Linked DNA regions of Nothobranchius furzeri. The protein of the gene in region 2 purifies or fractionates together with the protein of the main gene of each other region. This does not show direct contact. Links are inferred from orthologs where the notes say so. Each region holds a gene or a part of one and is shown on either strand. Other genes may lie near its edges.

Evidence for each region.
Region 1: the proteins of heterogeneous nuclear ribonucleoprotein R (region 2) and snrnp70 purify together in Homo sapiens (affinity purification with mass spectrometry; 3 studies listed by BioGRID and IntAct, with this or other methods). This does not show direct contact. The link is inferred for Nothobranchius furzeri from reciprocal best matches to the Homo sapiens genes HNRNPR and SNRNP70.
Region 3: the proteins of heterogeneous nuclear ribonucleoprotein R (region 2) and larp7 purify together in Homo sapiens (affinity purification with mass spectrometry; 4 studies listed by BioGRID and IntAct, with this or other methods). This does not show direct contact. The link is inferred for Nothobranchius furzeri from reciprocal best matches to the Homo sapiens genes HNRNPR and LARP7.
Region 4: the proteins of heterogeneous nuclear ribonucleoprotein R (region 2) and h2ax purify together in Homo sapiens (affinity purification with mass spectrometry; 3 studies listed by BioGRID and IntAct, with this or other methods). This does not show direct contact. The link is inferred for Nothobranchius furzeri from reciprocal best matches to the Homo sapiens genes HNRNPR and H2AX.
Region 5: the proteins of heterogeneous nuclear ribonucleoprotein R (region 2) and dhx9 fractionate together in Homo sapiens (co-fractionation; 3 studies listed by BioGRID and IntAct, with this or other methods). This does not show direct contact. The link is inferred for Nothobranchius furzeri from reciprocal best matches to the Homo sapiens genes HNRNPR and DHX9.
Region 6: the proteins of heterogeneous nuclear ribonucleoprotein R (region 2) and heterogeneous nuclear ribonucleoprotein D0 purify together in Homo sapiens (affinity purification with mass spectrometry; 4 studies listed by BioGRID and IntAct, with this or other methods). This does not show direct contact. The link is inferred for Nothobranchius furzeri from reciprocal best matches to the Homo sapiens genes HNRNPR and HNRNPD.
Region 7: the proteins of heterogeneous nuclear ribonucleoprotein R (region 2) and ybx1 purify together in Homo sapiens (co-immunoprecipitation; 5 studies listed by BioGRID and IntAct, with this or other methods). This does not show direct contact. The link is inferred for Nothobranchius furzeri from reciprocal best matches to the Homo sapiens genes HNRNPR and YBX1.

The regions. Positions count from the first base shown.
Region 1 is NC_091758.1:13,865,948-13,871,048, reverse strand, and holds the start of snrnp70 (U1 small nuclear ribonucleoprotein 70 kDa), read right to left. Parts: upstream 3,116-5,101; 5' UTR 2,933-3,115; intron 2,657-2,932; 5' UTR 2,651-2,656; coding exon 2,504-2,650; intron 2,424-2,503; coding exon 2,361-2,423; intron 1-2,360. UniProt on the Homo sapiens protein: Component of the spliceosomal U1 snRNP, which is essential for recognition of the pre-mRNA 5' splice-site and the subsequent assembly of the spliceosome. SNRNP70 binds to the loop I region of U1-snRNA.
Region 2 is NC_091759.1:6,952,167-6,956,926, forward strand, and holds the start of heterogeneous nuclear ribonucleoprotein R, read right to left. Parts: upstream 3,419-4,760; 5' UTR 3,268-3,418; intron 2,674-3,267; 5' UTR 2,670-2,673; coding exon 2,513-2,669; intron 2,385-2,512; coding exon 2,266-2,384; intron 2,167-2,265; coding exon 2,059-2,166; intron 1,965-2,058; coding exon 1,851-1,964; intron 489-1,850; coding exon 312-488; intron 1-311. Other genes in the region: atp5if1a (ATPase inhibitor A, mitochondrial), read right to left, coding at 4,138-4,279, 4,369-4,481. UniProt on the Homo sapiens protein: Component of ribonucleosomes, which are complexes of at least 20 other different heterogeneous nuclear ribonucleoproteins (hnRNP). hnRNP play an important role in processing of precursor mRNA in the nucleus.
Region 3 is NC_091742.1:73,345,441-73,349,768, reverse strand, and holds part of larp7 (la-related protein 7), read right to left. Parts: intron 4,248-4,328; exon of another isoform or gene 4,227-4,247; 5' UTR 4,222-4,226; coding exon 4,026-4,221; intron 3,950-4,025; coding exon 3,849-3,949; intron 3,774-3,848; coding exon 3,690-3,773; intron 1-3,689. UniProt on the Homo sapiens protein: RNA-binding protein that specifically binds distinct small nuclear RNA (snRNAs) and regulates their processing and function.
Region 4 is NC_091750.1:47,427,208-47,430,855, forward strand, and holds h2ax (histone H2AX), read left to right. Parts: upstream 1-1,764; 5' UTR 1,765-1,787; coding exon 1,788-2,294; 3' UTR 2,295-2,716; downstream 2,717-3,648. UniProt on the Homo sapiens protein: Variant histone H2A which replaces conventional H2A in a subset of nucleosomes. Nucleosomes wrap and compact DNA into chromatin, limiting DNA accessibility to the cellular machineries which require DNA as a template.
Region 5 is NC_091751.1:34,755,644-34,759,020, forward strand, and holds part of dhx9 (ATP-dependent RNA helicase A), read right to left. Parts: intron 1,091-3,377; coding exon 979-1,090; intron 909-978; coding exon 747-908; intron 1-746. UniProt on the Homo sapiens protein: Multifunctional ATP-dependent nucleic acid helicase that unwinds DNA and RNA in a 3' to 5' direction and that plays important roles in many processes, such as DNA replication, transcriptional activation, post-transcriptional RNA regulation, mRNA translation and RNA-mediated gene silencing.
Region 6 is NC_091746.1:62,885,245-62,889,572, forward strand, and holds part of heterogeneous nuclear ribonucleoprotein D0, read right to left. Parts: intron 2,676-4,328; coding exon 2,507-2,675; intron 709-2,506; coding exon 547-708; intron 430-546; coding exon 298-429; intron 215-297; coding exon 118-214; intron 1-117. UniProt on the Homo sapiens protein: Binds with high affinity to RNA molecules that contain AU-rich elements (AREs) found within the 3'-UTR of many proto-oncogenes and cytokine mRNAs.
Region 7 is NC_091755.1:32,515,288-32,520,239, forward strand, and holds the start of ybx1 (Y-box-binding protein 1), read right to left. Parts: upstream 3,131-4,952; 5' UTR 2,954-3,130; coding exon 2,848-2,953; intron 1,332-2,847; coding exon 1,268-1,331; intron 1,034-1,267; coding exon 1,000-1,033; intron 918-999; coding exon 828-917; intron 746-827; coding exon 467-745; intron 105-466; coding exon 7-104; exon of another isoform or gene 1-6. UniProt on the Homo sapiens protein: DNA- and RNA-binding protein involved in various processes, such as translational repression, RNA stabilization, mRNA splicing, DNA repair and transcription regulation.

The DNA.
Region 1 (5,101 bases), on a different chromosome or scaffold from region 2:
AAACTCTTGAGTCACAACAGGAAAACAAAAGGATGCGTGACATGATCCAGACCTGCCGCTGATGCGTTTTCTGAATGATGATCTGATGGGTGTCAAATATAGAAACGAGGGCTTCACCTAATTACATGTTTGAGTAGCGGCGCTGTGTTTAAGACAGAAAGGTGGGTCATCAGGCATTCTGCTGCACCGATGTTCACACAGAGCGTTAGGACCTGAGTGTTTTGTTTGTCATCGTAAACTCAGCTGAAAAGAGCAGAGCACCTAGCAGTGAGAAGCCTCACAGGTCGCTGGCTCCTGGGGGTAATGTTCACATTTCTGTGTTTGCACGTTGACAGAAGACATCTGAAAAAGCCCAGGTTAATGAACCTAAATAACTATTACCGTGTGTGTTTCAGTGACAGTTATATCTCAGTTGTTTCAGGTAACAAGTTATACTTGTGCGCCAGCTCCAGGTGGGAGACGCGAACGCACGGAAAGAGACGTTTCGCTCTCTGACTTTTCCGTCTCCTGGGAGTGTTGCAAAGCAATTCCCATGTCTTGTGAGTTAACGGTTAAACTTGTGTGCTAACTAGGCGTCGACCGATTTATCAGGCCGATATTTTGCATTTTTTCATCATCGGCCGATAAGTCTCTTTAGTAGAGCCGATTTAAAGCCAGGCACCTCCGCGGGCAGCCCGCTGCTGCTGGAAGCCGGTGAAGGACCCCAATCCAAAACACTGGGAGTATTTACGTCTGAGTAAAAGGAGAAGCTTCTCTCTAGCGTTTCAAACCCCTACAGCTGTGTTTTCAGTGTGAATTAAAAAGTAAAACATGAAATAAAACTTAGGTGAGTGAAAGAAAACGAGCCGTAAGAACCGCCGGTAACCGGCAGCGCGCTGCTAACGCTTGGCAGCTCGACTCAGCCACGCGTCGCTTCTGGTGATCGGTTCTGACGAAGAACTGACTTCCAAAAACTTGCATTTAATTTTTTTAAAATCTCGCCACGGGTCTCCGGAGCCCAGCGTGGACTTCCCTGACTCGGTACCGACCGGTGCGGGCTACAGAAACGCCCTCAGGCACGAAGATAGAGGCGTTGTGTCTCTTATCTGGAAACCCGGGGAATCGATGTCCAGACAGGCTGGAGTTGGTGCAGCTCTACTCTCACACACTCTAGTTTATCAACATGAACACAACCAACCATAGTAAACACACACTGAGCCAACATCATCGGGCCAGCTGCTAAAAGGGGCATTGTGGTTTGTAAACGAGAACATCCCTACAAAACAGGAACACCCACTTCGTCGTATTCGCTCCTGAAATGTTACTTCACCTCAGATATTCCAAAATAAGAGATTTTCTCTGCTCATCTATCTGTTCTCTGGCTTTGCATTGTTGTACCAACGGGTTACGATTTGTTATGGTTGGACTTTTGTGTTGGAGGGGGTGTTCTCTGCCGATTGTGTGGAGAGTTTCGGTTTGGTTGTTTAGAAAGAGAAGAGATTGTTAACGTTGATTTTCCTGGAGTTAAGGTGTGGGCCAACAGTAACCCGAATAAAGATCAGATACAGAAAGAACAAGTTGGGTAATTACTAGAGCTGTAGCGAAGCGTCGACGGCTCGATTCTAAAAATTCGCCGACGTCAGATCCGGTAGTCGACGCACCGCGCCCACTTGTTGCATCCCCAGGAGTTTGTCAAGAGAGGAGGAATCTGCCTGTTTTTCCTTTAGTTCACCCTCTTCTCCGCCTTCACTAGCATCCCCCAAATACCGAAGACCAGGAACAATGTCCGTCCGCTACTAGATTCCTTTCCTGTTTTGCCCGCCTTAGTCTCCCGGCAACGGACAACAACTTCCGGGGTCAAATGCGCTGCTCCGTCTCTGTCGCAGATGTAGAAAGTCACCGGGAGCGTTTCTCCCTTTGTAAAGGAGCTTCTTTCAGACATTAGGAGAGGTGTGGGGACTTTTATTTTGCCGTGGCGGTGCCACACGATCAATTAGTTTAGACTTTTATTTTGACACGTCTAACAGGGGAAATTACGTATTTTGATGCCCATTCCGATTGGTTGGTGAGAAGCTACAGTAACCCCCATAAAGGCGTTTTTCTGTAGCCCAAGTAGAAACGCCCGCGGCTGGCTGGACCCTGCTCCACTGAGCTGAGGCTTTAGTTACGTGACAGGTAAAAAAGGAGCGTTTTTAGAAGCTCTGCTGAGAAAAGTCACTTTTTACTCCTAAAACTGTGCCGTTGTGTGTTCATAAACGAAATATCCACAATAAGCATTTCGGCTAGTATTTTTGGACAGCATTTTACATGAATTAGAAAACAAATTTTACCTGCAATTTGCTCTTTTAATTATACCTGCACTAATCTAGTGATGGTCTCACCTTCCTCTCCAGGCGCTCCTCCCGGGTCTCTGCTCTGGTCGGTGGGGGGGCATCTCTTGGGTCCTGATCCCAGAACACAAACATTTAGGAGGCACATCAGAGACGAGCGTAGGAAGAGGAAAACCGACTAGAGCGCGTTTCACCTCAAAGTGTCGGATGAACGGAGCGATGCCGCAGTACGGTTGGTTGTGATGCTTCTCATGGGGCAACTTCTCCAGCTGCGGCAGGAAGGGTATCGGGTCCCGTGGTGCGAACAGGGCCAGCAAGTTCGGCGGTAGAAACTGTGTCATCTTTCACTGAAACACGACAGAGTGTGATTGTTACACAATCCGACCGCAGAGCAGGGGCGGCGGGTACTCAGCTAGCGACACTCTGATGACTGTGGTTCATCTTCACCTGGTTAAATCCGCTCATAACTAACTTAGACCCGATGATGAAAACTACTGATAGTAGAGCTGTAGTTATAAAAACGTCCGTTCTCACTTGCACTGTTGCCTTTCTTCGTTTACTTTATGAAGCGCTTCGTCTTAGCCTAAGCTAACAATGCTAACACGAGCTTCGCTACGTCTTACCTTCTTCTCTCCTCCGGTGTTCGACCGAAATCAAACCATGGACCTGAGGTGATGCCGAGTGGGCAGTTCTCCAAAGCAAGATGTGCTTCTAAAGGGTCCGAGCAGCGGTTTAATTTTAAAGGTTCAAAGCTCCAACGTGTCTCGTGTAAATGTCTTAGTTAGCCGTCTCTCAACAACACAAAATGGCGGTTTTGTCGTAAACCACAAAGACTGCCGTAAAGTCGAGAACACCGCCAAGCTCACAGAGAAGGAGGTCTACGCTGCAGCTTGTAGCACGGGGCGGGGAGTGGGCACAGGGTACGACCATATATGGAAAAGGTTCAAAAGGAGACATCTCGTGCCTTCTCTCCTTTTGAACCGTGCTTTTTTCCAGTCAGAGAACCACTCTGCCATTTATTAGTCATTTGTTATAACCCTTTCACTATGTTCTCATGGCTCACAAACACATGTCTAAATAAACAATTTTAGAAAATTTAAATTTAAATGTAGGTTTATCTCGTATAACTACAGGATCCTGAGATACTCTATTTTTCCACAGAAAACCATATTTGTCCCGTCAACACAAGTTTAGACTAAACCCAAAGGAATTCAAATTTCCCAGCTTCCATCCAGCATTCAAACACACCATGTGCGCACAAATCAGTCAGGTGCATGGTCAGGTGTGAAAAGAGTCTTAAAAGTATTTTTGGACTTAGGAACTGATCTGTGTGTAATGTAGTTTTGTCCGTGATTACCAGGTGATTTGTGTGTGTGTATTCAATGATTTGTATGTGTAAGAACTGAAGTTACACACAAAAATGTAAACACAAGTTACAAATCAAGAGTTACACACACAAATTTAGATACACACTCACAGATCTTTTGAAACTTTTTTTTCTCCCCATAAAGGTGCCATTGCTTTCCGGAACTGAAGGCGGCGCTATTTCCTGTTCCAGTTGCGGTATCTCAATTAAAAATACAAGTTTTCTGACTGGTCATTTTGAAAAGTTTACCGATTGAAAATATTCAGTGAATGGATTCACCACGGAAAGCACACAAATTCAGCAAAGGGTATTTGCGCATAATTACAGCAAATTGCAAATGCATTTTATGTTTTGTTTTATTTTATTAGAGAGAATAACATTATTAGTAGTGAAACTGCAACATTGTAATTAGGCTAAAATGAGCACATGGCAGAAAAAACAAGCTAACGCTATCGGTATCAGCTTTTGTCTCCAGTGTTTGATATGATTGGAGGAATTGAGTTTGTCCTTACATGTGATTTTAAAATAGAAAAAACTGCCAATGAAGTTGACGCCCATTCTTAAACAAGCTCTTCTACGCAGGAAACTCATGTACAACCACAATTTTACACCCCACCAAACACCAATCTGGAGCAGTAGGTAGGTACCTTACCTTAACGTTGCGCACATTTTTCCGCCAGGTTTTCTTTCATAAGTCCCAAAGTTTGCGTGGAAAGTTGCTCACGCAGTTTTCCGACCCCGTTTTGTGAGTAAGCAAGCTTGATAAATGAGGCCCCTCTCTCATTTATAAAACATGGCGTAGAATCCTTACTAAAACCGTACTTAAGCTCAGCAAACGAATGTACTCACGCCAAGCAGGTTTGTGACCTACCAAACATGGAGTACGCACAGCTGCAAGCAATCTCCGCTTTATAAATCAGAAACTATCTAGAAAGGTTCTCAAGTGTTTCTGGATCACGTCCCGCCCTCAACATGCCCACTTTCTGCCATAAATGTTCAATGCAAAGTGCCTTGTGGATCTCATGCATATACATAAGCCGGCTGTTGCAGCGCTCCGCCATTAACAATGTCGACCGCAGATCAAGGAAGCGGTATTTCACAGAAGCAGAAATTGAGGTACTTGTGGGTGAGGTGGAGAAATGAAAGGAAGTGCTTTTGCAAAACAAATAAGAGAAAATCCACGGAATGGCACAGCTTTGCTGAAGCTGTCAATGCTGAGTTCTTCAGAGAGATCTGTGGCGGATGTAAAAAAATGGTCCGATCTGAATGTGGAGGCAAAAAAAAGATGTTTTGCCACCGCCAAAGTGTGGCACCTCTGATCCCCCACCGCTCACCTTTACAATCTCAGCAGTACTCGGACCGGCAAGCGTGCGTGGCATCGTGCCGGAGAAGGAGGGAGACACCGACCGTGCAGAGGAGACTGGTA
Region 2 (4,760 bases):
CTGCAGTGCCAGGTATTTCAGCTACATTTTTTAAAATCCCAACAGAGCAGCCCACGAATCAGAAGTTGAAAGTGGAATATTTTGGTCACAATAGGAGCTGAGTGGCCTTTCATTAATTCAATTCAATAATACTTTATTAACCCCAGAGGGAAATTAGAGCCTGTAAAAGGTCATTTTAGCACATACTGGCTCATGAAAATTATTTTAAAACTACGAAAAAGTTGCAAAGTATCCCTTTATATAAATGTTCTTGTGTTATTAGGAACTGAAATTTGACTAGTGTTTTTTTTGTATTATAGAGTAAGACTTACTAGCTTCACAGCCTTTTGTGCGTCATCTTTATTGCAGTATGTGATGAAAGCATAACCTCTGTTCTGACCAGACAGGGGGTCCATCATTAACCTGAGGTCCCAGATGGCACCAGCAGACTCAAACAGAGGCACAAGCTCATCTTCATAAAGATCCCTGGGGATTTTCCCAACAAACACCTGAATAAAACAAAAGAAACAAACACACCATCAATGATATCAGCATCTAACTGAGTGAAAATTAGAAACAAAGTGTTTTTAAGTAGTGGATTGGTGTAGTCAACTAAAAGTCCAAGTCCAACCTAATAGTCCATTTCCAGAAATCACTAGATTAACAATTTGGGCACATTTTCAAATGTCTTTCATATTTTAGTTATAATTAAGATCAAAGCTCTGCTGCATTTTGGTCACCATGTATGAACAGAGTTTGCAGAAAATTTCATCACTTTATATATATATATATATTAGGGCTAGGGGTAAACGATTATTTTTAAAACGATTATTCTGACGATTATTTTATCGAATAGTCGACTATTCTAATGACTATTTAGAAAATTAATCTAATGATTATTTTTCTATTGCACAATTAACAAAAACCAGAAAATCTCAAATAAATTCCTCAAAAAGAATTGATAAATTCTTACTGTAAGAGAATAAACACTACAGGCCTTCCATTTTGTATAACACTGTGTTTATTGTGTTGGTTGGTTATGTTCTGATGACGTGTAGAACTTGGGAGTGCAGGCTGCTGCCTGAGAGGTGGTAGAAGATGGAGTGTCTCCATGCTGCTTTGTTTTGGTCACTTATGTGCGTGAGGCGAGTGGTCTTACGGGTTAAACCAAACTCAGGTGATATTTTACACTAAACCGAAAACCCACAACACTCTAAATGTAATAAAAGGGAGATCTACACCACAAAAAATATGAACTCTAAACCAAAACGTAACAGCTTATCCCAACGCAAGAAGCTGTTAGCGAAGATGCTAACAGTAGCTTTACCAACATTAAGTTCAAGTTACCAAGTTTAAATAAACCAAAAACACCCAGCAGCAAACAGACCAGCATGGAGGAGAGACTGCTACCACCAAAACAGCTCTCCTCATGTCTGAAAGAAGCTCCTTAATGAAGGGAGAAGCGCTCCCGGTGATTTTCTACATCTGCGATAGACACGAAGCAGCGCATCTGACCCCGGAAGTTGTTGTCCGTTGCCGGGAGACGAAGGGGCAAAACAGGAAAATAATCTAGTAGTGGACGGACGTTGTTCCGGGTCTTCGGTATTTGGCGGAGATGTTAGTGAAGGCGGAGAAGAGGGCGAACTAGAGGAAGAACAGGCAGATTCCTCCTCTATTTACAAACTCCTGGGGATGCAAAAAGTGGGCGCGGTGCGTCGACTTCCGGATCTGACGTCGACAAATTTTTAGAATCGAGCCGTCGACTTCGTCGAGGCTTCGCTACAGCCCTAATATATATATATATATATATATATATATATATATATATATATATATATATATATATATATATATATATGAAGCACTCCTACCTCAGTTCCAATCCCTGGTTGTGAGCCTGTGTATACGTCCTCAGGTGGAGGGCCTCCATATTTTCTCTGCCCTGTAGTCACGTCCAGAGTGTATCCTGTCCTCTCCAACAGAGACTTAAAACAAAAAACAATAACTAAACATTAGTTTCAGATCTAACTTTAAAGCTCACTTTTAACATTTCATACAAATGTGCATAAAATAATTCACCTTTATTTTGGACTCATCTGGACCCTTGGTGGACTCTTGTACCTTGCTTCCTTGTTTTTCCCTCTGTCTGTATGTTTTCATGACTCCACAAAGGAACGCACTTTTATTCTACAAAAAAATTATATAAATACAAATGAAACATAAAGCACTTTGGATACAATCACAGCTTCAGACAAATATTAAAATGTTACCTATAAACATGAATACCTGCACATGAGATAGGTCACTCTCTTTGAATTGCTGCAGCACCGTGAGCGCTCCCTCTTCATTGAACTCTCGCAGAGCATCAATGGCCCTTTCGTCCAAGTCAACATAAGCCACCAAGCCTACAGTAAATTTTATATACATATGTAAAAACACATACACACACACACATATAAAACAAAATGTCAAACAATTTGGAGACATATATATATATTTTAATTTAGCAGCTCATTTTGGAGCGATTACTGACCTGTCTGGAAGATGTTATCTAGACTTTCAGCGACTTTCTGAGGCAGCCCAGCATCAAGTAGTGTTTGGTAGTTTTCTGTGTGTGTTATTGACACATCCATTGGCTCTTCTTCCTCCTTTAATGGAGCAGAACTCCCATTCACCTCAGCAGCAGCCATTCCTCTGCAATATAGCAATCAAGAGAGACATGTCTTTTGATTAATCTGCATTTGCGTAATTATTTTACTTATAAAATCTAGAGATCATATAATAATTTGCGTTTTCAGCCTGTAGCAAACAAAAAATACTCTCACTTCATAGATTTCTTGCTTTTTGATCGCAACTGCTGACATTTGCTAATTCAATTAATTAAAATTGTTGTATATGCTATTAAATGAAGGATGAGATATAATATATATATATATATATATATACACGTTTACATAAAAAATAGCCAGGTTTTCAAAAAGAAACAACAGATAGCTACAGCCCCGCCTCCTTCGCATGCAGCCCGCTAACTAGCCAGATAAATACGTTTAATTCTGATATTTACATGCACGTTTTAAAAGAAAACGAACTCAATTAAAACTTAACAGAAGATTTAATGACTATATTTCAAAGCAAGATGGGGATTTCAAAATGTGCCTTTTCAAGTAGCAGCGATAGTTAGCCAAAAAGCTAACTATCGAAGCTTACGCGCAGGCCTCGCGGTGCCGACAAACGCCTCTCACATATCAAACACATAAAAGGTCCAAACTGATAGTTAGCAAAACTTACCAGCCTGATTCAGGAAGCCAATTACACCGTGGTTTAGCGCGCGAAATTATTAATTTTATTAACGAACGAAAATGCCCAAACAAAGTGTACTTATATCTCTACCACGAGACAATTTTTCCAGACACCAACGGTCTCGTCGTCGGCTCGCCCGAACAACGCAACCGCTCAGCAAATATCGCGAGACCAGAACGAGAAATCATTGAAGGGGGTTTCATGAGAATCATGGCTGCCGTGGTTTCTGTTTCGCAGATACGAACAAAAATAAAACGAAAAACTACGTATTAGCAGGCAATACTTGCGGTGAAGTTGTGATCCCGACTTCTTATATTCATTTCGCAGCATAACGAATCAATTTTGTGATTTCATGAGTATTTTCTGGTCCATTTGTATTTTGTCTGTTTAATTGAATTATCCTCGTTTTGTTGTACTTTTACACTAAAAAACAAAACATGCAGTGTGACTGCAACAGGTAATTTTACTTCTACTTAAAATGCACGATATCTGTATGCAGATAGTTATTTTCTCAAATTTTAAACTGATGTTCAAGATTCTGTTGAAAGTATGGAAAACATACGTTCACAACACTGATGATGGAAAAGAATGCTTCCTTTTTATCCAACTGCTGAAAAGGGATTTTGATTATCTTGGAAGAAACAAATGCACATGTTTTGAACACCAAGCCAAATGTTTAAAAATCCAAAGCGAATTAAATGCATATTTTGACAATGTAGGAAGATTAATCACTTTATTATTTCAGCATGATGAGTCAGAAGGACCTTTCATGACTAAGACCTGCAGAAAGTACAAGTGATAACGACATGTTCACAAGCGGTTCTACTCAGGAAAGAATTGACAGTTGGCCTCTCCCCCTTAATCGTCGTGCGTGAGCTTTCTGATTTTGCCCTTGTGGCGGTCGATCTCCTTCTGTAGGCGTTCAATCTCCTTTTTGTGGTGCTCGATCTCTTCTGAATGATGCTTCCTTAGTGCCTCCAACTGCTCCCGTTCCTTCTGCCTGCAAACAAATGCAACACAGAGACGGTCAAGAAAACACAATACAATGAAAGTAGTAGTACAGTATTATCACTATGCCTGGCATCTCACCGGAAGTACAGCTCCTCCTCTGCTGCTTCTCGCTTTCCAAAGGCACCTCCTGCTGACCTCACATAGCCTCCACCACCACCACCTTTCCCTGCTCCCTTTCCCAATTCACCAAGCTGGAAAAAAACAATATTTTTATGTGATTGTAAATCTCACACTAGGAATGTGCTTTATTTTAACACTTTCGGTTATGCATCACATATCAAAATGTTTAATTAATCTAAGTTATGAGAATCCTCAAAATACCACCTGAAGTTCTTTGATATGAAGTAGGGCTGGACGATATGGAAAAAATGCCCATCACCACAATATTTTTCATATCAGCCAATACTGACCAAACTATTTTTGGCAATTTCTATTACCCTGTATTATTAGGGGAAATCTGAAGCATGCAT
Region 3 (4,328 bases), on a different chromosome or scaffold from region 2:
TAGATGACGTGCTGCAGCATTCTGGAGAAGCTGCAGTTTATGGAGGGACTTGCTTGAGAGACCAAAGAGAAGTGAGTTGCAACAATCAACTTTCATAGTGAAATAGATGCGTTTTCCCTGTGAGCTCAGCAAAGCATCCCTTCCCACCAAGAGCGTTTCAGATGTGAAATGGCAGCGAAAGCCTTCCACAAAGCTGGTACCGCATTGTCATCGGAGAACTGCAAAATTACACCTGATTCTAGCAGTATATGAGCATCAAGCAGGAAGACGGCCCCGTGTTCCAACAGGTCAAGGGTTTACGTTCTTTAATGTGGTTTTTATTGCATCTTATTTCTAATTTTTAAAATGAGCCTAAAATTGCCAGTGTAGTGCCCTCTTAAGGTTAAAAGTCAGAACTACATTTGAATTTCAGTCATAGCTAATTGCTAAGCTGGTATTATCTAGGCTAGCCAGTATTTCTAGCATGGCCGCATTACACCGCAGATGAGTCTCGGCCTCTCACAAGAAGATACGAAACGATACGGCTCGGAGCCTTTCACCTCCTCCATTAATCCTTCTGTTTTCCTCTCCTTCCTCTGGTGAAGAAATGCTTCATACTAGGAAGCCTGCTGCTGTTTCACTATCCGAGCAACGTGTGTGTGATGTCATTGTCGGTCACTGGTGCAGTGCAGTAAGACTCCAGTCAGGGTAACTTGTACTTTAAGCAACTGGAAATTTTCACACCACTTTTATTGTGAAAGTTTCAAGATGTTTTACACTGCTTTTGTATGACTTCCTGTTTGCCCTGATGTGAACTGCTGAGCTTGATGCGTTCTGGAAGCGTAGAGAGTAAAAAGTAAGACTTGAAACAAAAATTTTGTAGAACAATGTAACACTACTCTTCAGGGACGCATTTAAAAGGCTGCATGGAAATACTCATCCACTGTAACAGCGGCTCATTGAAGGATCCCCAGGGTTCGGTCCTGGGACCAATCCTTTTTCCTTCTATATTTGCTCCTTCTCAGGCAAATTCTAATGTCACTTTTAGACCGCGACATGCAGTACTGGCGTGCTTTTAGCACCTCCTAGTGTCCACTAATAAAACAAAAAAATGAAACATTTCTCCTTGCTGTGCGTTGGTCCTTTTAACCCCTTAATCCAACAGCTGAAATGTCTCCCCAGGCTTCATTAGTGTCCACAGGGGCGATTCATTTTTGGCATCTAAAACATGCAGGAAACCTGCTGGAAGCAGACTCCAGTGAGTTTGTCAGCTCCGCTCTACTAAGTGCAACAGGAGGCGGCCCACCACTCTGAAGTTGCAGTGCAGTATTCTGGCCAAAGTGGGCGGTAGGGCTGAGTGACATTTCATTAACCCTGTAATGGGTCATTTTAGCGCATACTGGCTCAAGAAAATGATTTAAAAATATAAAAATGTTGCAAAGTATATAAAATTGATGGACGTTCAGATTATTTCATCATGTAAGACCTATAGTTAGCCGGCTCATTTAAAACATTGTACGTTTTTTGACCCTGTCTATTGAAAGAATCTAAATCACTCGAAACCAGAATTGAAACAAGTAATTGGAATCGAATGTGTTCCTATTCAAACATGTCCAACTCTACTAACTGCTGTTAGTTATGCTTTGCAGACGTTATTTGCTGCAGTGGATGTTGTTAGTTTTTTATTTATTAGTTTCAGTCTACAGTGGGGCAAAAAAGTATTTAGTCAGCCACCGATTGTGCAAGTTCTCCCACTTAAAATGATGACAGAGGTCAGTAATTTTCATCATAGGTACACTTCAACTGTGAGAGACAGAATGTGAAAAAAAATCCATGAATTCACATGGCAGGATTTTTAAAGAATTTATTTGTAAATCAGGGTGGAAAAATAAGTATTTGGTCAATAACAAAAATTCAACTCAATACTTTGTAACATAACCTTTTTTGGCAATAACAGAGGTCAAACGATTACTATAGGTCTTTACCAGGTTTGCACACACAGTAGCTGGTATTTTGGCCCATTCCTCCATGCAGATCTTCTCGAGAGCAGTGATGTTTTGGGGCTGTCGCCGAGCAACACAGACTTTCAACTCCCTCCACAGATTTTCTATGGGGTTGAGGTCTGGAGACTGGCTAGGCCACTCCAGGACTTTCAAATGCTTCTTACGGAGCCACTCCTTTGTTGCCCGGGCGGTGTGTTTGGGATCATTGTCGTGATGGAAGACCCAGCCACGTTTCATCTTCAAAGCTCTCACTGATGGAAGGAGGTTTTGGCTCAAAATCTCACGATACATGGCCCCATTCATTCTGTCCTTAACACGGATCAGTCGTCCTGTCCCCTTAGCAGAAAAACAGCCCCAAAGCATGATGTTCCCACCCCCATGCTTCACAGTAGGTATGGTGTTCTTGGGATGCAACTCAGTATTCATCTTCCTCCAAGCACGACGAGTTGAGTTTATACCAAAAGGTTCTACTTTGGTTTCATCTGACCACATGACATTCTACCAATCCTCTGCTGTATCATCCATGTGCTCTCTGGCAAACTTCAGACGGGCCTGGACATGCACTGGCTTCAGCAGCGGAACACGTCTGGCACTGCAGGATTTGATTCCCTGCCGTTGTAGTGTGTTACTGATGTTGACCTGTGTTACTGAGGTCCCAGCTCTCTGCAGGTCATTCACCAGGTCCCCCCGTGTGGTTCTGGGATTCTTGCTCACCGTTCTCATGATCATTTTGACCCCATGGGATGAGATCTTGCGTGGAGCCCCAGATCGAGGGAGATTATCAGTGGTCTTGTATGTCTTCCATTTTCTGATAATTGCTCCCACAGTTGATTTTTTCACACCAAGCTGCTTGCCTATTGTAGATTCACTCTTCCCAGTCTGGTGCAGGTCTACAATTCTTTTCCCGGTGTCCTTGGAAAGCTCTTTGTTTTTGGCCATAGTGGAGTTTGGAGTCTGACTGTTTGAGGCTGTGGACAGGTGTCTTTTATACAGATAATGAGTTCAAACAGGTGCCATTAATACAGGTAACGAGTTGAGGACAGAAAAGCTTCTTAAAGAAGACATTACAGGTCTGTGAGAGCCAGAGATTTTCCTTGTTTGAAGTGACCAAATACTTATTTTCTACCCTGATTTACAAATAAATTCTTTTAAAATCCTGCCATGTGAATTCATGGATTTTTTTTCTCACATTCTGTCTCTCACAGTTGAAGTGTACCTATGATCTAAATTACTGACCTCTGTCATCATTTTAAGTGGGAGAACTTGCACAATTGGTGGCTGACTAAATACTTGTTTGCCCCACTGTAGGTCACACCCCCCTGCATCTAATCAACACGACTCCCTCACAATAGAGGCTAATGACTCATCGGGGGACGAGAGGAGGGGTTTTCAGAGTAGTTTCTGCTCGTTAAATAACAACAGATAGCTACAGCGTATAAACTTGACTCTCCCGTATTCCAGTCAGAATTGACAAAGTTCCTTGGATGAGAAGCGAAACGTCTTCAAAAAACCAAAGAAGTCCAGTTGCCTTCATTTGAACCATTTTGGGTTACCACGACCCGGATGACTGAACATTCACCAAAAATGCTGGGTTTTATGGACTCTTTGATCTTTTTTAATGGGATTTATAAATAGAAAAACATATCATCATCTGAAATGACCCAATGTAAAAATTAGCAACTAAAGCAGAGTTTCGTTTGTTGTTACCACGTAAACTGTGCGGTCGTCGACGTTTTTCGGTGGGTCTCCGAGTGGATGTTGACGTCTGACTTTAGTTCCTTCGAGGTTGAGCTAAAACACAAAAGCGTTTAGAATGTCATTTAAACAGTGACAGTCACGAGTAACGAGAATAAAAAAAGTCATCACCTCCACTACAGATGAGTTTCTCAGTGCTCTGGCAATCAGTTTAGTGTCAGTTGTCAGTTTCTTCATCCGACTGAAGCTCGTCAAAACAGAAATATCAACATCTACAAGAAGTGGAAAACACGTCAAGCTCTGATCGAGTCAATCTGAGATTTAGAACTAGCACTTTCAGACACTCACATCCTTTGTCGGACTCATCGATGAGCTTTTTCAGAAAGCGGTCCTTGTACAGGTTGACGTCTCCAAACCAAAACTCCACTTGCTTCTTTATGTCGCTGAGCAGCTGTTTAACTCGAGACCTTTTTTTTCTTTCCATCTCCTTGTTCTTCTCCATAGATGTTACTGCATCAGCTGCTTCTTTCTCTGTGTTCAGCATCCTGGCTGTGGGGTGACAGCGGAGCTCTTTAACACAGACACATTCAGAAAGAGTAGACGACTGTGGACTTGTCTGTTTACGGGAGTTTTTGGGAGGAACGAGACCTA
Region 4 (3,648 bases), on a different chromosome or scaffold from region 2:
CTCAGACTAATGATGTAAATGCACTTTGGACTGATGCTTTATTTGTTTTTTTACAGCACATGTAAAATTTTGTTGGGTGTAAAATGATAATTTATTATTCTGTGTGATTTATAAACCATATTATTTATTTCATCAACCCAAAACAAGTCATCCTCGCTGCATTGCACTGTAAAATAGTGACGTTGGCATTCTTTTCTATGCAAATTTAATTTTGAAGACCTTTAAGTAAGTTAATATAACTTTCTCTGTTAAAATGTGTTGTTTATTTGTGATTACTTAAAAATTACTTTTAAAATTCATGTTTAATCGCATAAAAAGCAGAGAAGATGGTGTATTTATCGTAATTTTGTGTGATAATTATTTTCTGTGGAATATCATAACTATGGTTTGATTTTGATAGTTCAGTCAGCAGGCATCTCGTGCTGGGCAATAAGCTTAATCTGTAAAAAATAAAAAATAAAAATAAAGAAAGACTATCAACTTTAAAAATAAACATGTCGGTAAACGATTTACAATGATCAGGTATAGCTGAGTTGCAGCAGCTCAGTGCTTCACTAAGAAAACATATTTTACAACAAACAGTCACACATTTGATTAATTTATATTACACAAACAGCAAAATGTTGTATTTAGGAGAATTATTGTCATAAACATATTTAATTCAATCCACTTGGACTGTCAGGGTTCAGCTCAGGCAATTAGAACCAAGTTTAAGAGTTTTTTATACGTGGAACTGCTCTCAGGGCTGGAAAAAAAATATTAACAACTAGACACACAAAATGATAATTGCTGCAGCAATCAGAACCAATTGTAAAACTGTACATATGATTTTTTTTCTCTTATAAAAACCTCATTTGAAATAACTGCAATAATTTTGGGACCTCATAACAACCAAAATCAATTATTCAATTACTGTGTTTTTAAATAAATATTTAATCTGATTAAATATTATCAAATGGACATGCCAAACATTAAGCCAGTACTGTATGGACAATACTGTCAAACTAATTAAAAATGCAGAACAGATCAAAACCACTCTCCTGCCTGAAAGCACACATACATATACATGTAGTGATATGTGAATGTAATTTGAAAAAGTGGCTGTAAAATTCAAGATGTGAGGCCCCAGTTATATTTTGAAAATGTAATTTATTGCAAATAAATTATTTTTCAACCCTAATGTTGATTGTGCACTTAGTTAATATGGTCTTGTTTTTGTAAAAGGTATATATTTTTACCAGTAAAATGGTTATTTGCTGAGCTGCCTAGGATTAGCTTCGTCTCAGTGGGGGAGGATGGTGGAATTTTCCATGTCTTGCTGGCCCTCCCTCACACAGTTTGTGCAGTGTAAGCTTACTTCAAGCACATTTTGCGCATTTTAATAAATTGTCCTCATGTATAATTGTGATACATGTGTCACCACATTTCGATCTTGGTCAAAAACCCTGACAACATTATTCAATACTTTACTGTATCAATACTCATTAAATCGCTTGAAATGTTCACTTTTCGTTCGGTAACGCGCCAAAACGTTTAAAGCTGGAGGGAAGACCGTCTATTGGTCTTCCTTCTGACACGTGACCCGCGTGAAACTGGGTGAACAAATAAACAACCAATTACCTTTGTCTATTGGTCAGACTCCTCGATGATTGGTGTAGAGCCAGAGCAGCCAAACCAATAGTTACTGGCTTCCTGGAACGTTTGATCTCCTAAAGCCAAACAAATGAGAGCTTCTCTCTCTAGCATCCAATAGTAGTTTGGGGCGGGACTAACGTGGAGGCTTATATATGGCTCGGCGAGCCTTTTTTCTTTCTACTTTGCGATTTTCTGCATTGAAATCATATTCGTGGAAGAGATCTTCAACAATGTCTGGAAGAGGTAAAACCGGTGCTAAGGCCCGCGCCAAGGCGAAGACCCGCAGCTCCCGCGCCGGTCTGCAGTTCCCTGTGGGCCGTGTTCACCGTCTCCTCCGCAAGGGAAACTATGCTGAGAGAGTGGGCGCCGGAGCTCCTGTTTACCTGGCTGCGGTCCTCGAGTATCTCACCGCCGAGATCCTGGAGCTGGCTGGCAACGCCGCTCGGGACAACAAGAAGACCCGAATCATTCCTCGCCACCTTCAGCTGGCTGTCCGTAACGACGAGGAGCTGAACAAACTGCTCGGTGGCGTGACCATCGCTCAGGGAGGCGTGTTGCCTAACATCCAGGCCGTCCTCCTGCCCAAGAAGGCCGGCCAGGCAGCACCCAGCTCCGGCAAGGCGGGAAAGAAGGCGTCCTCTCAGTCTCAGGAGTATTAGCTTCACGGCTAACCACAATGAACCCAAAGGCCCTTTTAAGGGCCAACCACCGACCGAAAGGGCAACTTTTCTAGTTTATCAATGTCGCTCAAAGCATATTTTGTTTGGGTTATTGAAGGCTTGTGTTAAGGTAATTTCTTTCAGGCTAGATCCTTTGCTAAGAAACAAGATTAGGCTAAATTTCCCCAGTTAGCCTGAAATGTCACTTGAAAATCTTCATCCTGAGTTTATTTTTCATCCTTGAATGTTATTTAAAGTAGCAACTCTTCTGCAACTGACCAGATCCAATGCTAGCTGCACACACTGGCAACTAAACATTTGTTATGCATTGCACTCAGGTTCTCAGGGCTGCTGTATGTTTTCATCATGTGAAACGCCTGTTCACAACAAAACGGTTTCATTAAAAGTTCTGCAAGACAACATCTGTCACCTGGAAACGTGTTTGTGTGGTGGTGAAGTCTCAAATGAAATGTACTAACGGCTGTCTATTCAAGCAGCTCCAGGTGTTTCCTTATTGCACATGGAGAAAAACACGCGAGCAGATAGTGTTAACATTCATGGCTTCCTCTGTGGTTTCTTTTACACGTTTTTCAGTTCTTGTCCCTGTACCACTGACTCAACTTACTGGACTGAGGGGTGATGAGCAGTCCGATAAAAACTAACTTCAGAATCCCTGCAGAAAAAATAATAGTACTTGCAAAGTAGTAAATTGCCTGTATTTGTATAGCCCTTTTACCCCAACCCCCCCCACACACACACACACACACACACACACAGTCATTCACCCATGCACGCACATTCACGCTGGTGGTGATGGAGATCCGGTGTAGCTACAGCTGCCCTAGGGAACACTGGCAGAGGCGAGGCCTGTTGTACACTGGTTCCTCCGACCACCACCAGACAAGGTGGGTTAGTCGTCTTGCCCGTGGACACAACAGCAGCATTCTCTGACAGCAAGGGTCAAACCTACAACCTTCTGATTACTGGACATCCCACTCTACCTCCTGAGCTGCTGCTGCGTGTCCAAATCATCACTTTCAAACATTAAAAGAAAAATCTGGAAGCTGTGTATGAAGACATGAGGAGTGTTATGTTTGCTGAGGTGAAGGTGGGGATGTTGTTCACTGGTTTTACCACCAGAGGTTGACTGCTTCCTGTGAGATCTGCACGTGCTTCATTCTTCCCCATGTCTTCTTCCATACTCTTACTCCACATGAAAAGTCTACGACAGATGTGTGAAAGCTTCATCGTGTCCACACAGCACATCTGACAGCAATAGTTTATACGTAGGTGTCCCAACAGATGTGGTTAATTCAGTTTACCTGAATTCATGCACCTTTCAGCCGGAGGGTCT
Region 5 (3,377 bases), on a different chromosome or scaffold from region 2:
GCAGCAGCCTAAGTCGAGAGGCCCAGACTTCCCTCTCCCCAGCCACTTGGGCCAGCTCCTCCGGGGGAATCCCAAGGCGTTCCCTGGCCAGGTGAGAGACATAGTCCCTCCACCGTGTCCTGGGTCTACCTTTAGGTCTCCTCCCGGTTGGACGTGCCTGGAACGCCTCACCAGGGAGGCGTCCAGGAGGCATTCTGACCAGACGCCCGAGCCACCTCAACTGGTTCCTCTCGATGTGGAGGAGCAGCGGGTCTACTCCGAGCCCCTCCCGGATGACCGAGCTTCTCACCCTATTTCTAAGGAGAGCCCAGCCACCCGATGGAGATAATTTCATCTGCTTGTGTCCGCAATCTCGATCTTTCGGTCACTACCCAAAGCTCGTGACCATAGGTGAGGGTAGGAACGTAGATCGACCGGTAAATCGAGAGCCTCGCCTTCTGACTCAGCTCTCTCTCCACCACGACAGACCGGTACAACGCCCGCATCACTGCAGATGCAGCACCAATCTGCCTATCGATCTCACGCTCCAGTTTTCCCTCACTCGTGAACAAGACCCAGAGATACTTAAACTCCTCCACTTGGGGCAGGACCTCATCCCTGACCCAGAGAAGGCATTCTACCCTTTTCCGAATCAAGACCAGATTATATATTTATTTATATAAAAACAAAACATGAAGCCACCAAAAGACTGATGAGGGATCAGGTGAAGATCCAGAAGGTAATTAAAACCTTTGAGGCTCACTCACCTCACGTCGTCCCAGGCCTGGAAGACCGACAGCAGCGCCACGTGATCCGAGAAGCGGTTCCCCGAAAAGTTCCTGTGGACGAATCCGAGGCGTCTCCCATCGCTGATGAACGGCTCCGGAAAACAGGAGGCGGCTGAGATGGTGCACATGGCATCTCCAACACTGAGGGGAGAAACACGTCAGTCACCCCATATCAGAGGCAACAAGTCAGGAGAACCAGAGAGGAACCCACTAAAAGATGCAGCCCATGATCATCATCTTCCCCAGCCGAGGTTCGATGGGCAGCCGAGCCAGAATCCGACCCAAAGGAGTCAGCTCATCGTTGGAGTCCAGAGCGTCCAGCTCTGCAACACAAAGGTTAAATCAGCTCAAACCACCGAAGCATCCCACAGATTACCACCAGGTGTTCCAGTAATGCCTCCGTTAGAAAGCCCCTCCCACCTCTGGTCCGGGTACCCCTAGTGTAGCACACGGTGGACGGTTTCATACGCACGAGTCGCACTAATAAGCACCAACATGGAGCCCAGCTCGGGTCCCAATATGAGAGGAACCCGATGTGCAGCTCCCGTCCAACGAGGGCAGCTTTAACTGGTTCGATCAGGGGACTTTCTGGTCTCCAGTCACTCTGCTGGTCACCTGCTGCCTGATGAGGGGATTGCTCCTGGAAGGAACAGGTGAGCTGCTGCAACAAGCTTCCGTTTCAACAGAAACACACGACATGTGATGTCACATGCTCAAGATCCCGCCCCCAGCTTCTGGTAAAGTACAGTCAAGTGTTTTTTTCTACACGATTCCCTTTCCTTCACAAGGAAACTCAGATTTCACAGATATGACAACATGAGTTCAAGGGAGTCTTTCCAACATCAGAACATCCTTTTCTTTAACACCAAATATCACAAGCTGTTTCAACTAAACAATCAACGCCATGGCGGCGTCAGGGAGCCTTAGGTCGTTTTTAGGTGGTCAGACCGTGGCAGTACTGTGGCGGCATAACGGTGGTATAGGGCAGTCTCTGCGCTGCCACGGACTTCCGTTAGTTTTTACTGCAATTGAAGCCACGATGGTTACGTATTTTTTAACAAGCCGCTCCTAACTGTGTCCGTCCTCCACAGCCCCGGTGTGGTCTCTGGTGATCTGAGCTCCAGCTCTAACGGAGAGAAGCTCTTGGATGGCTGCAGCCTTCACTCTGCTGTCTCAGCTGTTTTTGTTCAAAACGCAAAACTTGCAGTCGGAGTTTACTTTCATTTTCTATCGAGTTGCTGGCCGGAGCTCGGCATTAACTCCCTACGTCATCATGACGCCTCCCTCTGTCGCGCCGTCTATTAGGCAGACAATTACCGCATTATTACCAAGCGGGCCGAACGAATGATGCTAAATTTGTGCAACGCCATGCCGGTAAGGTGTGTTTGTAAGACACAGAGACACTGAGAGGCGCCGAGCAGGGCTGGGCATACTAGTTGCCCCCCATCTTGGTGCCTGTGCGTTGGGGTTTACCCCAGTGAATGAGAGGGTAGCCTCCCTCCGCTTACGTGTGGGGGGATGGGTGTGCTTTTGCACCAAACTACAGTTCAGACTACACACTCTTTTTGGAGACCCTGGAGGGGGTGCCGGAGAGCGCTCCTTCTGGTGACTCCCTCGTTCTGCTGGGGGACTTTAACGCTCATGTGGGCAACGACAGTGAGACCTGGAGAGGTGTGGTTGGGAGGAACGGCCATGATCTGAATTCGAGTGGTGTTTTGTTATTGGACTTCTGTGCCAGTCATGGATTGTACATAATGAACACCATGTTCACACATAAAGGTGTCCATATGTGCTCTTGACACCAGGATACCTCAGGCCGAAGCCCGATGATCGACTTTGTTGTTGTTTCATCTGACCTGCAGCCGCCTGTCTTGGACACTCGGGTGAAGAGAGGGGCGGAGCTGTCAACTGACCACTACCTGGTGGTGAGTTGGCTTCGATGGTGGGGGAGGATGCCCATCAGACCAGTCACTGGACCGACCGTGGAACACTGGACCAGCTCTATACCCTTAGGGGGATCCTGGAGGGTGCGTGGGAATTTGCCCAACCAGTCTACATGTGTTTTGTGGATTTGGAGAAGGCGTTTGACTGCGTCCCTCGGAGGGGCCCTGTGGGGGCTACGCCGGGAGTATGGGGTACCAGGCCCTCTGTTATGGGCTGTTAGGTCCCTGTATGACCGGTGTCAGAGCTTGGTCCGCATTGCCGGCAGTAAGTCGGGCTCGTTACCAGTGAAAGTTAGACTCCGCCAAGGCTGCCCTTTGTCACCGGTTCAGTTCATAACTTTAATGGACAGAATTTCGAGGCGCAGCCAAGGAGTGGAGAAGATCTGTTTTGGTGGCCTGAGGATCAGGTCTCTGCTTTTTGCAGATGATGTGGTCCTGTTGGCTTCATCAGAACGTGATCTTCAGCTTTCGCTGGAGCAGTTCGCAGCCGAGTGTGAAGCAGCTGGGATGAGAATTACCTCCTCTAAATCTGAGGCCATGGTCTTGATTCGGAAATGGGTAGAATGCCTTCTGCGGGTCAGGGATGAGGTCCTGCCCCAAGTGGAGGAGTTTAAGTATCTCAGGGTCTTCTTCACGAGTGAGGGAAAACTGGAGCTTGAGATCGATA
Region 6 (4,328 bases), on a different chromosome or scaffold from region 2:
TCTTGTGCGTTTGATAAGGAAACAATCTTCTCTGCTCAGTGAGAAACCCAGCAGGTGGAGGCAGACATAAATGTTAAACTAGCAAGAGCAATGTTTTAGTTTTCCATCCTAACTCACCTCCTCTTCCTCTGGACCTGGACGAGTATCCTCCTCTGCCTCCCCAGTACTGCTGCTGCTGGTACACCTCCTTTGACACAGCCACCTTTACTTCACACTAAAGTCAAACATTATTAATTTATTATGTCTTCATTAAGGTACAGTCATATAATGAAATCTGATTGGATGAAGTGATTGCACCTGGCTGAGTCCGATGTTGTGGTACTTCTTCTCCATAATCTTCTTCACTGGCTCCTCCTCTAGAAATGTGATGAAGCAGAAGCCTCTCCTTTTGTTAGTTTTGTTCTCCATGGGAAGTTCAATCAACTCCACCTGATTAAATCATAGTGAATGCATTCATGATATATTGGGTTTTATTTAAAAAGGAAAATGCAAGCAAAAGCTTAACGAATATAAAGTGAGGCGTGTGTGTGTGTGTATGTGTCACACCTCTCCAAAAGCACTGAAGTACTCTCTGACTTTGTCTTCATGAGTATCTGGAGACAGACCACCAACAAAGATCTTCGTCACAGGCTCCTTGGCCTTCATGGCTTTGGCTCTTTTGGGGTCGATCACCTTCCCGTTGAGCTTATGTTCCTTCTGTGATGCAACCTTCATGAGGACAAACGCCAACAATAAACCAGTTAAACGTAGAGTCAATCAACAGTTCTATGGATGGTTTGGCCTTTTGATCAAACAACTGTCAGGGTTCGTTTTTCGGGCTGCGAACATCAACAGAGACACCGTGGATATGAGGAGATAATAAAGGTCACACAGGTCAGGTCAGTGAAGGTGGTCCATCATCTGGGTAGGCTGTGATTTAATCCTAATTCAACCTACAGCCTCCTGCTGATGTTGTGATGAAATAGGATTTTTTATGTTTTATTATTTTCTGCATTGAACAGAATTTGATCCACTCTCCAACTTTTCTGAAATGAGACCGTTGGGTTCAAATAAAATAACAAACAAAGCCAAACATTTCCTTTGGTGTTATTTATTTCTTACGCCCTTGTACCTTGGCACAAACATGTGACTAAAGCAGCTCAAAGACATTAAAACCTAATATATGGATCCATTATGGATTTTATAACCTAAATTACAGACATGTCCAATTGGGTTTTTTGCATCTGCAGAGCATGCTTCTCCCACAGCCTGAGGCATGACTACTGAATGAGGAAACAGATTTTTTATCTTGTTATAAATGTTTTACCCTCTTACATTATCCTACAGTCTGCTGTGAACGAAGAGCTTTTGGGGGATGGTGTGTTGTGTCAGATTTTTTAAAAGCACATATCTGTCATCCTCTATTTATCAATGAAAGCAAACCCATATGAAATAATCGTTATGAATCAGGATATTGAATCTAATCGAGTCATGAGACTAGTGAAGATTCACGCCTCTATAAGTTTTATTTATTTTCCCTCAATCTAATTTTTAAAAAACTAATAATGAAATAAATTGAAGTTTTATTTTTTCTTTCAAAAAATGACAACAAATCTATTATATTTATTATCCTGGCAGCAACCCAACCTATATATGTGTAGTACCACGACCCATAGACAGAGCTCAGTCATAGGGCGGGATCTACAGTTGTCTTTCAAACGGCCTCTGCATGCTACTGGACAGTACTAGGACCAATAAGAGCAACGAACAATATAACATATTCATCGCTACTTAAATCAGTCTGCCATACACATAAGAAGCAAACACATGCTGTTTGTACCTCTATCTGCTCATGCCTCAAAGAGAAGCCCAAGTCTAATTTTCCAAAGTTCATGCCAAAGCCATTGAAAACAAGCGCAGATTATAAACCATTGCCATCTTCGTAGTTTTTCTCCACTGCAGCTCTTACATTAAGCCAAATGTTCGAGCCAACTGTAGACCTGCTGAGGCAACATGGAGCATGACTAGACCGACCTGCAGACCAAAATCTTTTGCTTCTACTACGGTTGGTCAACATTTCTAGGCTAGGTATTTACGAAAGAGGACAAAATACAATTTTTGACTTTACTCTCAGAAAAATTCTAATTTCCAATTTTAATCTCATAATTCCAATTTTTTCTCTCTGAATTCTAAGAAGAACGTTTTTTGTGACCCTAATTCTCTTCTGTAGACATCACTCAAGAATTATAAATGGTTTCTTCTCAAAAGGATCCTGTAACATTTGCAGCTCTAAACAAGTTTTATTAAGGTGGACTGAGGAGAAAAGTTCTTTGGATTGCAAAGGTTGCAAATGATCTAGAAGCACAGAAGCTTTCTGTTGGAAAATGGTTCATTTCTAGAAGGAGTGCCTCCTGCTGATGAATACGCTTGAGGCATGAAATAAAGGAGTATCATTCAATAAACTCTAGATTAACCTCCTGCTCCACACTTATTGTTTTGCAGCATTAAAATAAAAGAAGGACCGTACCTTTTCAACACTTTCCGGTTCTTTGAAAAGTACAAAGCCGAAACCCCTTGATCGACCAGTCATGGGGTCCAGTTTTAATGTGCAGTCAACAACCTCCCCAAACTTTGAGAAGTAATCCTTCAGGTCCTTTTTAGTGGTGTCCCAGCTGAGGCCTCCCACAAACATCTTCCTATTAATGAAACAAATGGGTCAGGAAATATAAAAATCAGTGTCTGTGAAGAGCAGCTTGCATTTTTCCCACCCCTCCATCTGCCATCTGGGGGTCAGCAGCCTAAGCAGAGAGGCCCACCCTTCCCTCTCCCCAGCCACTTGGGCCAGCTCCTTTAGGGGAATCCCAAGGTGTTCCTTGACCAGCTGAAAATGTAGTTCTTCCAACTGTGTCCTGGGTCATCCCTTTGGGTCTCCTCTAGGGTTGTCACGGTAACCGGTATAGCGGTAAACCCCGGTAAAAAAGTTGACAATAAAAATAACCGTCCAGTTTTTAAAAAACTAAATTATCTCGGTGGGTTTACCGTGGCCGCGGTTTCGGCGCGGTGACCCTTACCAGCCACCGTCGCTTCAGCTGAAGTTCCCGCGGCGCGCACACGCACTTTTTAGTTTGCAACGGCACCAAAACTTTGAAGCTGAAATAATGGCCGAAGGAGGAGACGGCAGCGCCCAGGACATCCATCAGCCCTCAAAGAAGACTAAATCGGAAGTATGGGCATATTTTGGATTTCTGAAAAATGCTGAGGGACAGTTAATAGAAGACGGCTATCCCGTTTGCAGAACGTGCAGGAAACAAGTGTCTGCAAAAGGCAGCAACACTTCGAATCTAATGGCACATCTGCGTGACCATCACCCACGTCTCTACAGCCAGTGCAAGGTAAGTTAACATTAGCATTTTAGCTCAAATGCATGACGTGAGGACTTTTGGCTGAGGGAGAATGCAACGAGTCACTATAGACTGCAGCCGCAGCGTCCTCTGCCAGCATTTAAACCGTGTCACGGACACCCTGTTGCTGGATGAAGCATCTTATTTGTTGATGATGAAGAGAAATATACAATTAGTTCCTTGTCAATTTGATTTGTTTACTTATTCAATGCCATTTATACTTGAACATTTGGATTTGATTACATAGTGTAGTAGTTATTTTAGTAATTTGTTTAAAGTGGCTATTTATTTCAAATACATATTTTTTAAGGTTGACTTGTACAGTGCTCAAGTCAAGTGTGGACTGGAGTTTTAGATTTTCATTTGGATAATGAAGAAAACAAGTATATGAGAAAACAAGTGGTGTTTCTTTGATTTGTTTACATATTGTTTATGTTTTGAATGTTTAGATTTGTGTAATTTAAACCTGCACTGACTACTGTAACATGTTCCAGAAAAAGAAGCTATTTGTTCCTTTACTTGTGAAAAGTTGCACTTTTGCTAAGGCTTTGTGTTATTTTAGGTTTAATAAACACTGTTAAACCTTTTCAGAACTATTTCAGTTTGTGTAGAACAGGACTATCAATGCTTTCTGAACATATGCAACACCGTTTAAAAAATACCGCGATAATACCGAAAACCGTGATAATTTTGGTCACAATAACCGTGAGGTTAAATTTTCATACCGTGACAACCCTAGTCTCTTCACATTTGGACGTGCCCAGAAAACATTACCAGAGTCATCCATGAGGCATAACCAGACGCCCGAGCTACCTCAACTGGCTCCTCTCGATGTGGAGAAGCAGCAGATCTACTCCAAACCCCTCCCAGATGAGCGAACTAGAGCACCACCCCGGTCTGCCAATCGAGTGGACCAGCGACAGAGGAGTTTTTTGACTGCCTCAGTGA
Region 7 (4,952 bases), on a different chromosome or scaffold from region 2:
GCAAACCTTGGTGTGAACCTTGGTCGGAAGCCTCTGTAGTAGTTCTGCCTCGCCGGTTTGTTCCCCTGGTCTGGACCTCCTTGGCCCTCATCAACCTCACCTCCCTGAAAACAAACATTTAACCATAACGGACGCTTTTTTTAGTGACACACCCACTTTAGAAACTTGAAACCATCTAAGTTTTTTGTTTTAATTCTTTTTTTTTTTTTTTCAAGATTTTGTTCACAGTTTTGTTGTTTTTCATTGACAGGAGGGGCTCACTTCCAAGACCCCCGATACACCAAGATTAGTTGATCACAACCACGTTTGTGAAGAGGAGAGTAGCTCGTCTACAACAAAGGGTTTTAATTTTGGAATGGGACAACTGGGTGACTGTTTCAGGATTTTAGCCCTGTGACAGCGTACCTCAGTCATCTCTGCGTGGTGCGTTGGGTGTATGGGGCCTGCGGCCGTAGCGACTACGTACAAAATATGGTGGGTAGCGCCGTCTGCCAGGGTACGCTGGTCTGCGCTGTGGTTGCTGCGAATCTCCATCAGGGATGTTATCTCCACCCTCTCTGCTGCCTTTGTCACGTCCTCCACTGCCAGGCTCTCCCTCGTCGCTCTGGTAGTTCTCTGGATAGTCTCCTCCACGGGGAGGCCCCCTCCTTCGTGGGTAGCGTCTGTAACGGTTCCTGTCAGCAGCGTACTTACTCCCCTGGACTGCAACTCCTCCTGGGCCAGTGACATTTGCTGCCTCTGCTCCCTGTGCACAAGAAAAAAAGGCAAAGTAAATTAATCATGATGGAACACAATGTCCTTTAAACAAACAAATCAAAGAAACTTACTTTTTCTCCCTCAACTACATCAAACTCCACAGTTTCTCCGTCCCCAACACTGCGAAGATATTTCCTTGGGTTGTTCTTTTTTATGGCCGTCTGAAATTACAAATAGTTTGAATGTCAAGTCTGCTTAACCACAAATTTCAATAAATGAATAAAAACTAAAGCAACAACTGACCTGGTGTACAAAAACATCTTCCTTTGTATCGTTCCTAGACAAAAGAACAGAATCTTAGTTAGCTGCATTCTGCTGAGCCTCTGCAAACAGACTTAAAACTAAGCCAGTGGGGATTAATTAAGTTCTGTGGGTTGCAACAGGATGGAGATGAGCAGAAAAATAATATGGTCAGCCAAGTACGCAAAGCATAACTTAATAGGATTAGCATGCTTCACTCTCACCCACACCCAGAAATGTACTTTGACACAGGGACCAACAGGTGACTCACCTATTGATGAAACCATATCCATTCCTGACGTTGAACCATTTGACTGTACCCAAGACTTTTGTTGCTGCAATCACAGTCAGAACAAGATTATTAAATACCATCGTCTGCCTGACATGCATTTAGAACAAATCCATATAGCTTAAGTGAAACTGAAACGCTTCCATCATGATGGGACACTTAACGAACTACATCAGAACTATAAAAACATTAAAAACTATGGCCACACATAACGTAGAGGTTATATTTAACCCGCAACTGTCACTCCTATTATAGACACTGATGCTTAGGAGACCCCAGGGCCAGCTGCTCCTAACATGAGCCACCAGTAAGAAAATATCCCAGTAACGATACAACAACTGTCCCAAATGACGCATCCAAAATGTCCCATAATGCATGACAAAGATGAGGATGCAAACAGCGACCAGTCTCTGCACTCGCATGTTTAGTTACTGCAGACCTGCTGCTCCATTTTAGGACGCAGAACCTGAAGGTTCACACGTGGTTGGGTCGCACCCGGATACGTTAACGAGCTGTGAGCTGTGCTCTGCTGGCTATTAGCATGGCTGTGTGGCTAAGGTTAGTACCATGTGGTTGGAGTAGAGCCAGCAAAGAGAAACAAACAAACGCGCATTACTAAACTACATTAATCCGTATTTATTGGTATATATGATAAAGATTTCGGTTTTGAATTAGTTTTTAGCGAACAAATTACAAAGCAGCGGGAAAAAACGGGAAAACACACGGCGGACATTTTGGACGGCCTCCCCTAAAGCCATGTAAATAGCCACTTAGCTGGCTAGGCTAATGTAGCTAGGTTAGCAACCGATGATCTATAGTAAAGTATTTAGGCCACACCGACAGCACGCAAATTCAACCAAAATAAGACCGCCATTGACGGATGTAGCTGGAGTCGCTAGCCAACAACGTTTCTTCTGACAATTTGGCCAAAAAAATCGGGACTGAACGCTTTGGAAAAGGAGAATATTTTAGATAAAATGCCTTGACATGGAATCAAGACTCTTTCGTGCGAACAAAGAGATGGTTAAGCAGCTAACGTTCGTAGCCACTGTAGTTATTTCACATGAACCGGTGTTATAGAGCATTTGGTAGGATTGTTCTGCAATTATTGGCGGTCCAGATGCAGTTATGCAGTTATTAAACCCTAGTCAAAACATCGTGGTTCTGGCAACGGTTGGAAGTGACAGCGAGCATCCATGTGATGACCGGCCGGATACACGCGACTCTCAAACGGATATTTGACGTGAGGAGGCCGATGAGCAATGGAGATAATCAGAATGGAATTCACGATTTAATCTGTGAATAAACCACTCAATTTTTAGAAACTAGACTAATAAAAACCGTTAGATTGAATTTTTTGGACCATTATAATAAGAATGCCCAAAGGAGTGAAGAATTTATCCGTCAACTGGCACTAACGTTTACCAACTGGAGCAAATTAATTTGACGTGGCTGAAATTCTCACGCAAGAACGGCAGCTTTTATTCAAATGCTACATCCACACCCAAGAGCGTATAAATTATAAATGATAACTCCGGCTCGGCTAGCCTAAGAATTCTTACCGATGACCTTCTTATCCCCCGCGGAAGCTGCGGGTGCCGGGCTGGATGGGCTCTCCGCATCCGCAGCAGGCTGTGGAGGTTGTTGCGTCTCGGCCTCGCTGCTCATGGTTACTACTCGTTGGTAATGGCTTCAGCCGGCGGCGGCTCTCTGATATTTTTCCCGGTGCTAGATGGTAACCTGGGCCGGCGGTGGTGGGGGCTACTGCCTTCGGGCTCTCAGCTTTCTTCTTTCCGCTCCCGTTGCCGATCGAACTGGGCAGAACAAGAGACAGTGCAGGGGAATGTTCCCAGGCGAAGACCCGCCCATCTCGTCTCCTGATTAGCTAAAATATGTAGAATTGAACAAATCTCCTTCCAATTGGCTATTGAGACTGTCAATCTTTTTTGAGCAAAGCCTTTGATGAAATTATTGGTCAAAAAGACGTACAGAAGTCTCAACGCCCCCAGTGACGTAAAAGCGAGAGAATTCTGCTTGTGACACTTCCGATAGTATTATGCATTTTGAATTATGTCATACAAAACTGTGAACCATACATGTGGTATGTTGCAAATGTGACAACTTTATGTTTAATTTATTTTGTCGTTTCTAGATAGTTGAAATAATTACTACTATTGTGATGTTTACCGTGGGAACATTCTAAGAAAAGACAAATAAACACCCCATAAATATTAGCAGGTAAAGACAAAGGTAACTGCAGAATCCACTCATATTATGTTCATGCACCACTGGCACCCTTTACAAGCACAGGCCAATGTGTGAAGCGCATGCGGTTAATCTCTCTCTCTCTCTCTCTCTCTCTCTCTCTCTCTCTCTCTCTCTCTCTCTCTCTCTCTCTCTCTCTCTCTCTCTCTCTCTCTCTCTCTCTCTCTCTCTCTCTCTCTCTCTCTCTCTCTCTCTCTCTCTCTCTCTCTCTCTCTCTCTCTCTCTCTCTCTCTCTCGGAGTTAGTGCTGCTAGATTAGACAGATTTTATGTCTCTGGTAAAAAAAAAAAACAGCTTGGGCATTTCGTGCAAGAGAGGGCCAAAGGGGCCTTGATCCGGGCTCGTTTCACCACATTACAGGACATGGATGCTCCAACATCCTTCTTTTTTAACCTGGAAAAGACTTTCAAACCAGAAAAAAACAAATGGTTGCTCTTCGTCTGTCAGATGGACAGTTATCCACAGACCCAGTGGAGATGAGGAAGTATGCAGGAGAATTCTATACCAGCCTATTTAAGGCCATGTGATGTGAACTGTGCCAGAGAGCTGTTGCAGGGGCTCCCTTCCTTGACCACAGCAGACCAAGACATCTTAAATGCAGACATAACCATGGAGGAGCTTACAACGGCAGTCTCCCAGATGGCTGCAGGAAAATCTCTGGGGATAGATGGCTTACCTGCTGACTTCTACAAATTCTACTGGAGCAGTATGGGACAGGACCTGATGGATGTTTTTAAAGACTCACTTCAGACAGGAGCACTTCCTGCATCGTGTAGGTGGGGCGTTCTGTCCCTGCTGCCGAAAAAGGGGACTTAACCCAACTAAAATACTGGAGACCAGTTTCCTTGTTATGTTCAGACAATAAGATTTTTTCTAAATTCTTATCAAACAGACTTTGGGGATTCATCGGAGGTCTAATCCCAGACGATCAGTCCTTTTGAATACCAGGAAAGTAATTAATGGACAATTTATTTTTAATGAGAGGCTACGGGCCTTTGGTTTTGGGGGGTCCTTTCTGGAATGGATTAAGATGCTGTATAGGAATGTCAGCTGTATGGTGAAGGTAGCGGAGGGCCTGAGTCAACCCATACCAGTTTTAAGAGGAATCAAGACAGGGTTGTCTCATCTCAGGACAACTGTATATTTTAGCTAATGAACAACTGCTGTGTCGGCTAAGGAACAGGCTGAAAGGTCTACACCTACCTTTACCTGTCTCTAGTCCTCCCTAAGTTGTGTCTGCTTATGCAGATGATGTGAATGTTTTTATCCATGATCAGCAGGATGCACAAGAACTCAGATCTAGTTTACTTTTACATGAGAATCCATCCTCGGCTAATGTTAACTGGGACAAGAGTGAGACATGTGTAGTGGGGGGGTGGGACCTTGGTAATGTCCCGCCTCTG